Cricetulus griseus: one gene and its partner. The protein of the gene in region 1 purifies or fractionates together with the protein of each later gene. This does not show direct contact. Links are inferred from orthologs where the notes say so. Each region holds a gene or a part of one and is shown on either strand. Other genes may lie near its edges.

Evidence for each region. The genes of interacting proteins can lie anywhere in the genome.
Region 2: the proteins of Rps9 (region 1) and Ctcf purify together in Homo sapiens (affinity purification with mass spectrometry; 3 studies listed by BioGRID and IntAct, with this or other methods). This does not show direct contact. The link is inferred for Cricetulus griseus from reciprocal best matches to the Homo sapiens genes RPS9 and CTCF.

The regions. Positions count from the first base shown.
Region 1 is NC_048602.1:21,628,018-21,631,990, forward strand, and holds the start of Rps9 (40S ribosomal protein S9), read left to right. Parts: upstream 1-1,173; 5' UTR 1,174-1,296; intron 1,297-1,519; 5' UTR 1,520-1,544; coding exon 1,545-1,641; intron 1,642-2,066; coding exon 2,067-2,189; intron 2,190-3,228; coding exon 3,229-3,415; intron 3,416-3,973. UniProt on the Homo sapiens protein: Component of the small ribosomal subunit. The ribosome is a large ribonucleoprotein complex responsible for the synthesis of proteins in the cell. Part of the small subunit (SSU) processome, first precursor of the small eukaryotic ribosomal subunit.
Region 2 is NC_048596.1:181,921,797-181,925,738, forward strand, and holds the start of Ctcf (transcriptional repressor CTCF), read left to right. Parts: upstream 1-1,142; 5' UTR 1,143-1,363; intron 1,364-3,942.

The sequences.
Region 1 (3,973 bases):
TCTGCTAGCTCCAGGACATCCAGGACTAAGTAGAAAGACCAGTCTTGGCAGGGTAGTAGGGGGGGATCCCAACCAAACGAAAAAGAAAATATCTTCAGACTGAACTGAACTGGAATCCAGTTGCAGAGAAAGACGAGTGATGAGCCAAGGGGTCCAGACCAGGCTGGTGAAACCCACAGAAACAGCTGACCAGGGAACTCTTGCTCCCCAGACTGGTAGCTGGGATATCAGCATGGGACTGATCCAGACCCCAGGAACATGGGTTTCAGTGAGGAGACCTCGGAAATCTACAGGACCTCCTGCAATAGTTCAGTACTTATCCCTAGCCTAGGTGTGGACTTTGGGAGCCCATTCCACATAGAGCGATATTCCCTGAGCCAAGACACATGGGGGGGGGGGTGACCCTAGGCCCTATCCCAAAGGATATGACAGACTGATGACATCCTACGGAAGGCTTCACTCTCCAGGGGGAGCAGAAAGGATATGTGATAGGTAGGGTTTTACTTGGGGAGGGTGGTAGGGGAAGACGGGAGGGAGAGGGAACTGGGATTGACAAGTAAAACAATCTTGTTTCTAATTCAAATAAAAAAATCTGCAAAAAAAAAAAAGGAAAAGAAAAAGAAAAGAAAATATCTTCAGGAAAATGGGTTGTAATCCCATCATTTGGGAAGTTATCAGCAGCAGGAGGATTAGGAATTTATGGTCACTTGGGTGGGAAACCCTTTCTCAAAACAACAAATAAAATAGGAGAGACTCAGAGGCCAAGATGATGGGGGGGGTACGTTTTCTTATCTAAGAGTTCTTCTTTCTAGATATGTCTAGCTTTGCGTCAAGCTGAAAAAAACAAAACAAACAAACAAACCCAACAGGCACAAGGGCAAGCATATCTCACAGTGTAAGCCCAGCAGGGAGGCAGGCCCAGAGACCTACAATGCTAGCATTGCTGGGGAACCTTGGCAGCTGCCCTGGGTCTTTGTTAAAGCAAAAAAAACCAGCCACCGCAGTGCGTGGCGTCACCCTGCGTCTGTGCCCCAGCAGCGGCAGCCCACATAAATCCTTGGATTTATAACAAGGACGTCACCAGGGCCGGTGAGCCGCCTGAGGCTCACCGCACCGCTGAAGTCCGCCCAGCGCGGCGCCGCTCTGGCCCACCACCCGAGCCTCCGCTCTATCGCCTTCCCGCTTGTGATTGGCGGAGCCGCGAGCCGTGCGCGCTGACGTCACGGCCAGGCCACGCTGCTATAAAAGCGCGGCGCGGCGGCCGCGGGTCTCTTTGTCGCCGGCGTGAGTTCCGAGGTGAGCGTCGCGCGCGGGGTCCTCGGTGCCTTCGGCGGGGCTAGCGGAGCCATCCGGACACGCAGAGGGAGCGGGGCTGGAGGGAGGGCGGTCGGACGTGGTGACGGCAGCGTCTCCGAGAGCCGGGCCAGGCCGCGGTGTGCTGGGGCGCGCGCGGGGGGGGGGGGGAGTCACTGCGCATGCGCCACTGCTTTTTTTTTTAAACCTTATCCTTTGTGCGCAGGCGCGGCGGGCCCTGAGTCGCCACCATGCCGGTTGCCAGAAGTTGGGTTTGTCGCAAAACCTATGTCACCCCACGGAGGCCCTTCGAGAAGTCGCGTCTCGATCAGGAGCTGAAGCTGATAGGTGAGCAGCCAGGGTGGGGTTCAGATTGCGGGGAGGGATGATCGGAGAGGAGTTCGGTAGCCACGAGGTCGGCCCTCCCACGTGTGCTCGCCCTGGGCGCCGCGCAGGCTTGTGGCGGCCTGCATCGGTTTTGAGAGCCGAGTGTGGCCGATCGGTGCAAGTGTGATCGTTAACGCATCACCCTGGTCCCCGCCCACCCAGCGTGCAGGTGAGCGGCCAGGGTGGGGTTTCAGATGGCAGGGAGAGGAGGGAAGGGTGGCGATCGGGGAAGAGTTAGGTAGCCACCAGGGCTGCCCTCCCACGTGTGCTCGCCCTGGGCGCCGCGCAGGGGTGTGGCCTGCATCGGTTTTGAGTCCTGAGTGTGTGGCCGACGGATGCAAGTGTGATCGTTAACTAACGCATCACCCTGGTCCCCCGCCGTGCAGGAGAATACGGGCTCCGGAACAAGCGCGAGGTGTGGAGGGTCAAGTTTACCCTGGCCAAGATCCGCAAGGCCGCCCGGGAGCTGCTGACCCTGGACGAAAAGGACCCACGGCGTCTTTTCGAAGGTGCGTACCGGCCCGTCTGCAAAAGGGTGAGCGGTGGCGGGTGGGGCTGCAGAGTTCGCAGGCCGCACTGGTGGTCCCGGGAGGTACGGCGGTGGACACGGCTGCGCTAGCCTTGGGGGCAGTATCTGGTGGAGATTGGTCTTCCAACGTCCTGGAGTCTGGACTTTCCAGACTCTTGCAGGAGTGTGGGGCTTGCAGGTGTCAGGGCACGTCCCTTTGCTTAGGGGAGTTTGGGGAACAGATTGCTCCTTTGGGGTCAGTGACAGGAGAATGAATGGTAGATGAGGGTGGTCTGCGGTTTTCGTGAGCCGAAGTGAAGATTGTCCAGGCAGCCAGCCTCCCAGGGATGACTTTGGAGTGAAGCCATCTTTTTTTTTTTTTTTTTTTTTTTTTTTGGTTTTTCGAGACAGGGTTTCTCTGTAGCTTTGGAGCCTATCCTGGCACTCGCTCTGGAGACCAGGCTGGCCTCGAACTCACAGAGATCCGCCTGCCTCTGCCTCCCGAGTGCTTCTATTTAAAAGGCGTGCACCACCAACGCCCGCCTAAAACATCGTAATTTGAGTCTATTTTAGGGTGTTGAAATAACATAGATGGTGTACGTTTTTCTTTGGTTTGGTTCTTTATTCTTAGGGTTTCTTTCTAGGTGACTGGGCCTTCAGTTAGAGTAGATTTCTTTCAAACTCCTGGGAGAATAGATGTGAGTTTTTATTTATCTGGTGCTGTGTAGTCTAGATTATCTTTTGGTTTCCCCCAGTACTGTGATTGTTGTTGTGAAAGCAGCATGTTATCTTAGGTTGGGAGTGGAAGTTCCCATGGTAGTGGTGAGGGCTGAGTGACAGCCTGTGGTGAGATGCCTGCTGTTGAAAGGCTGATCCAGCGGCCGTGTCAGGGTCGAAACCAGGAGCTCATAGAAGGAAGGTTATCATTAGGCACATCGCTGTTTTTCCTGCGCTCCTTGCAAAAATGGATGACGGCTGTAGTGACCTTCCGGAGGCTCTGAGGTGAGGCCTGATCTGGGTCACACTCCTCCCTTCCCCAGGCAATGCCCTGCTGAGGCGACTTGTTCGCATTGGGGTGCTGGACGAGGGCAAGATGAAGCTGGATTACATCCTGGGCCTGAAGATTGAGGACTTCCTGGAGAGGCGGCTGCAGACCCAGGTCTTTAAGCTGGGCCTGGCCAAGTCCATCCACCACGCCCGAGTGCTCATCCGCCAGCGCCACATCAGGTAAGCTACAGCCAGGCCTGCCGGCCTACTCTACTTCCCTGTCTGCACTGTTGGTTCCTTTGCTAAGCTGCCGTCCCTATCTCCTGTGCAGCCTTCGGAGCTGACAGATCTGAGCTTACCCTGAGGGTTCAGAATGAAAGCTTGTGGGGGAATTGGGAACAGCCTTGTCTCCCCATAGCCCAGCGCAAGTGTCACTGCGGCTCAAGCCGTACACCTTGCGAAGGTCTCTGCCAGGCATGCCAGCAGCTGGACAGGTAATGGCTCTTGGTGCCCCCGTGGAGGGAGAGGATTGAGTCGATGCTGTTGGGGTGGTGCAGCTGTCATTGGAGCTTGGTGTCGGAGCTCCAACCCAGACCCGCACTGCTTTATTCCTATTTGTTAATGTGCCTGGCTGAAGGGACTGGGGCAAAGACTAGTTAGGGTGAGTGGAAACTGCCTGTTTTTCTGTAAATGATCACGGATCGTGAGAGCTGAACAGGTATAGGCTCAGGTTCTCACTCACCACCTTCATCTCTGGGCACAGATGTACTCTTGATGTCTGAGGTGGTTTGAGGCTTA
Region 2 (3,942 bases), on another chromosome or scaffold:
TTTCCCAGGATTTAGTCTTTTATCTTTCTGCTAAGTCGAGGGTCATATACTGACAGCCCTACAACAGTGGGCTAAAGTTTAAATAAGTTTAAAAACATCTTATTTAGTTACTAACATTTGACCATATGGATTTTACATACTTCCAAACCCAACTTTCTGATTCTTTTGGGGGAATAACAGTATCTGTTGATAATGGGCCAGCATCCCACAACACAGCATAGACACTGATAGAGCAGAAGCAGCTCCCTTGATGCATTTGTTATCCACATAGCTACAGCAAGAGGGTTGAGAATACAGTCCTAAGTCACATTCCAGTCGTGGGGGAAGAGGGGATCACTATAACATCTGGCAATAGGGCCCTTGTCAATTTACCATTGGTTGGGTAGGGTCCCCAGGCGCCTCCAGGGGAGAGGGAAGGGCTGAAGGATTTCACCAACTGGGGAACCTAACAGAAATAACATATTTTCACGGCGCCAAATACAGCTAAAGACGACTGAGGTGTCCTCGAGACACCCAGGAAGCCCTATCCTGGTCCTCTTAATTTCACACCCGGTTTTATAAGTCCCTTTTCTAGCTCACCAAAGCCACTGAGCAAAGACAGCCAGCTCTTCTAGCCGTCGATTTTGAGCACTGGACACTGTTGGGTAAGTGTGAAGGCGCGGGAACTCACTGGGTCTTACTCGGTAGCGGACCACAGTGCAGAGCTAAACCAGGGTTGGGCCCAGCTGGGTAGGGCCGAACCTTGGAGTCTCGTCCGACCCCACGGCCCAGCTCCGCGCGCTTAGTCCTCCCCCCCTTCACGGCTTTGGGGGAGAGAAAGAGCTAAAGAATCACAGCAACCAGGCGGAGATCCGACTGCCCAGAGGCCGCAAACCTCCGCCCAGGAAGCCCCACCCAACGGGAACCAGGACGCCTCCGCCTCAGCAAAGCCCACGCGCGACCGGGCGAGGGCGCGGAAGGGCGCGTGCGGCGTGACGACGCGACTCGCGGCGCATCTCGTGACGCCATCGCGCCTGCTTTTGAAAGTTGGCGCCCGGGGCCGCCTCCCATGCTGCCCTGCGCCAACCCCTCCCCTCACCTTTCCTCCCCCGCCCTCAACTCGCCGCCGGCCGGCCCCCCCCACCCGTCTCTTCCCTTATCAGCACCCGCGGCCCCGGCAGCGCCGACGCAGGCGCACTGCACCGCGCCGCCGCCATTTTGTGTCCGAGCCTGTGGAGCGATTAAACCGTGCGCGGAGCTGCTTCTTTGGCGGCAGCGGCGACAGTGGTAGCCAGTGCAGGCACGCGGAGCTGGCCGGGGACGCCAGGTGGCCGGAGCGGTGGAGCGGCGGCGGAGCGGGCGCCGCGGGGGGTGTGGCGCGAAGGTAAGGGGGCCCGGGGTGGAGGAGGTTTCGCGGGCCGCCTCTAGGTGTCACGATGGGGCCGCTCCGGTCGGCGCTGGCTGCAGCCCGGCGCCAGCGCCGCCGCCGGGGGGTGTTTGTCTCCCTCTACCGTCCCTGCTGCGGCGCGGCCGCCGCCATTGCCCGTCTCTGCCGCCAGGGCCTGGCCAACCCCCTCCACACCCGCCCGCTAGCTTCCCTCCTCCCAACATGGTAGGCCTCTGGCGGCGGTGGCGACAGAGGCCTGCGCGCTCGGCGACTCCATTTTCCTTCCTTTGTCTCTACCCTCGAGGCCGGCTTTTGGCCCGGCTGATCTTCAGGCCGCGGCCCGCCCTCTGCCCTCCGCCCCTCCCGCGAAAGGGGCCCTAACCGAGGCTGGACCTCTGAAGGCTGGGTTTTCGCGCTTGCCTCGCCTAGGGGTCTTAAGTCCTCTGCCGCCCGCGCGCAGCTAGGTCCCGGAACCGTGTGGGTGTCGGGTCCCTACCGACGCGCCTCGGACTGCCCCATCTTCCAGTCCACCCGGTCCCGGAACCTACCCGGCCGCCCTGAGTGCTTCTCCAGCAGCTGGAGTGCTCTCGAGTTTCTCCGAGAGTCCGATCATCGCCGCTGCTGGTCTCCGTCGCCGCCGAGTGGCGCAGGCGGCGCTGCTGTGGCTGCGATTAGAGGGACCCCTGAACTGCCGAGAGCTCCCTCTGCAAGGCTGGCTGAGCTGCTCGCGCCTCGACGCCGCCCGAGCGGGCGGGGGAACGCGCGCTCGCCGCCCCCGCCGGGCCCCGTTGCGCCCCCAAACTCCACGCCAGGGCATCGCGCGGGACCCGACCGGTGCGGCCCCCAATGGTGGGCGGAAAAGACAGAATTTCCGCACCAAAATAGTTTTTCCCCAGCTAGGTTCGCACTCTTGAGCCCGTTGGAATGATAGCAGTCAGACGTTGTGCGCTCAGAGATCGCAAAGGGACTGAAACTTAATTTCACTCAGATCTCAAGTGATGTGTTAAACTCCAAAAATCCGGAGCATGGGCTGGTTACGTTTGTACAAGCGACACTGGAGTTTGTCTCCGGTTTAAGATGTAACTTCGCACTCCACTTAGGACCTGATGCTCTGGGGCTAGGCTAAGATAGTTCAACCCCTTTGGGATTGTGCAACCCCATCTAAAGCGCCAATAGGGCAGAATGAACTTATTCTTGACTAGACTGGTAATTTGACTGTTCGATGAAATGTGAGGGCTGATGTTGTAATTGAATCTTGGGTCACTTGAAGCAGATGGTTTATAAATGTCTGTGTAACTAGTCTTTAGTAGCTGACTTCCTGTATTGGGTTTAGCATTAAGTAAACATCGGCATAGAGACAATACTTTTTGGAGTTTAGGTTAACTAAGAAAGCTAAAATTCCACGGCCTCCATAGGCAGGAAAAGAAATTTAACAGCATTTAAGTCCTGACTTAAATAAACTGACTTTTAAGTCCTTTGCATTAATCTGTTAAATTGCTGGAGTAACCTTTATGGTTCGACTGTTTCCCCCCAACTCCATAATTTATTACCAATTAGCTGCTGATGTGTGGCTAAGGTTCTTGAGTAGAAAAGAAAGTCTAGGTTGATATTTTTTTTTAAAGAAGATATTTAAGCTTATGAAGCATTTTAAAAATCTCCCTCCATCCCGACAGTTTATCTCTGTAGCCCTGGTTGGCCTCATACTTAGGAGATCCACCTGCCTCTGTCTCCCGAGTGCTGGGATTAGAGGTGTGCTCTGACATGCTCTGCTTGCTTTAAAAAAAAAAAAAAAAAAAAAGTGCTACACTCATCCCTGATTTCGAGACCAGCCAGGTCTACAAGAGTTAGTTCCAGGACAGCCTCCAAAGCCACAGAGAAACCCTGTCTCAGGGAAAAAGAAAAAAAAAAAAAAGTGTGATAATATGCGTGATCTCAATTTGTAGGCCCTGGCAACCCACGTTGTATGCAAATCTTTCAACACTCCCCAATGTTTATGCCATTCCTTCCCTCTCTCCCTTAAATGAACCTAGTATTCTTTGTGGCCTTACTAGCCACATTGAAATCCTACGCAACTTTGATTTTTGTGGTGGTTGTACATGTCTTGCAAATGTCCTACCTTTGAGGTATGTTCCCATTCAGCATCTCATCCCTTCTTTGAATTCTTCAGAATGTTCTTCCTCACCTTCCCCCACAATAAAATTTCACTGAGTAACTAAATGTAGTGGTATCAGCCTTTTGTAGAACCATCTTTCTTTTTCTAATATACTAGGCCCAGCTATGTAACTTATTGCATTCTTTTCAATTTTACTGTCAAGTGTACAAGTTCCCAGTGGTGGTATATGCTAGTACTTTCGAAGTAGTGGCAAGAGGATGGGGAGTTCAAGGTCATCCTTAGCTTTGTAGCAAATATGATACATGAGACTGCCTTAAAAGAGAGTAGTTGGAATTTGTTTTTAGTACTGGACCTTGAGTAAACTAGGCAAGTTATAAATCCCATTTTTATTAGCTGGGTGGTGGTGGCTCACACCTTTCATTCCAGCACTAAGGAGGCAGCAGCAGGTGGATTTCTGAGTTCG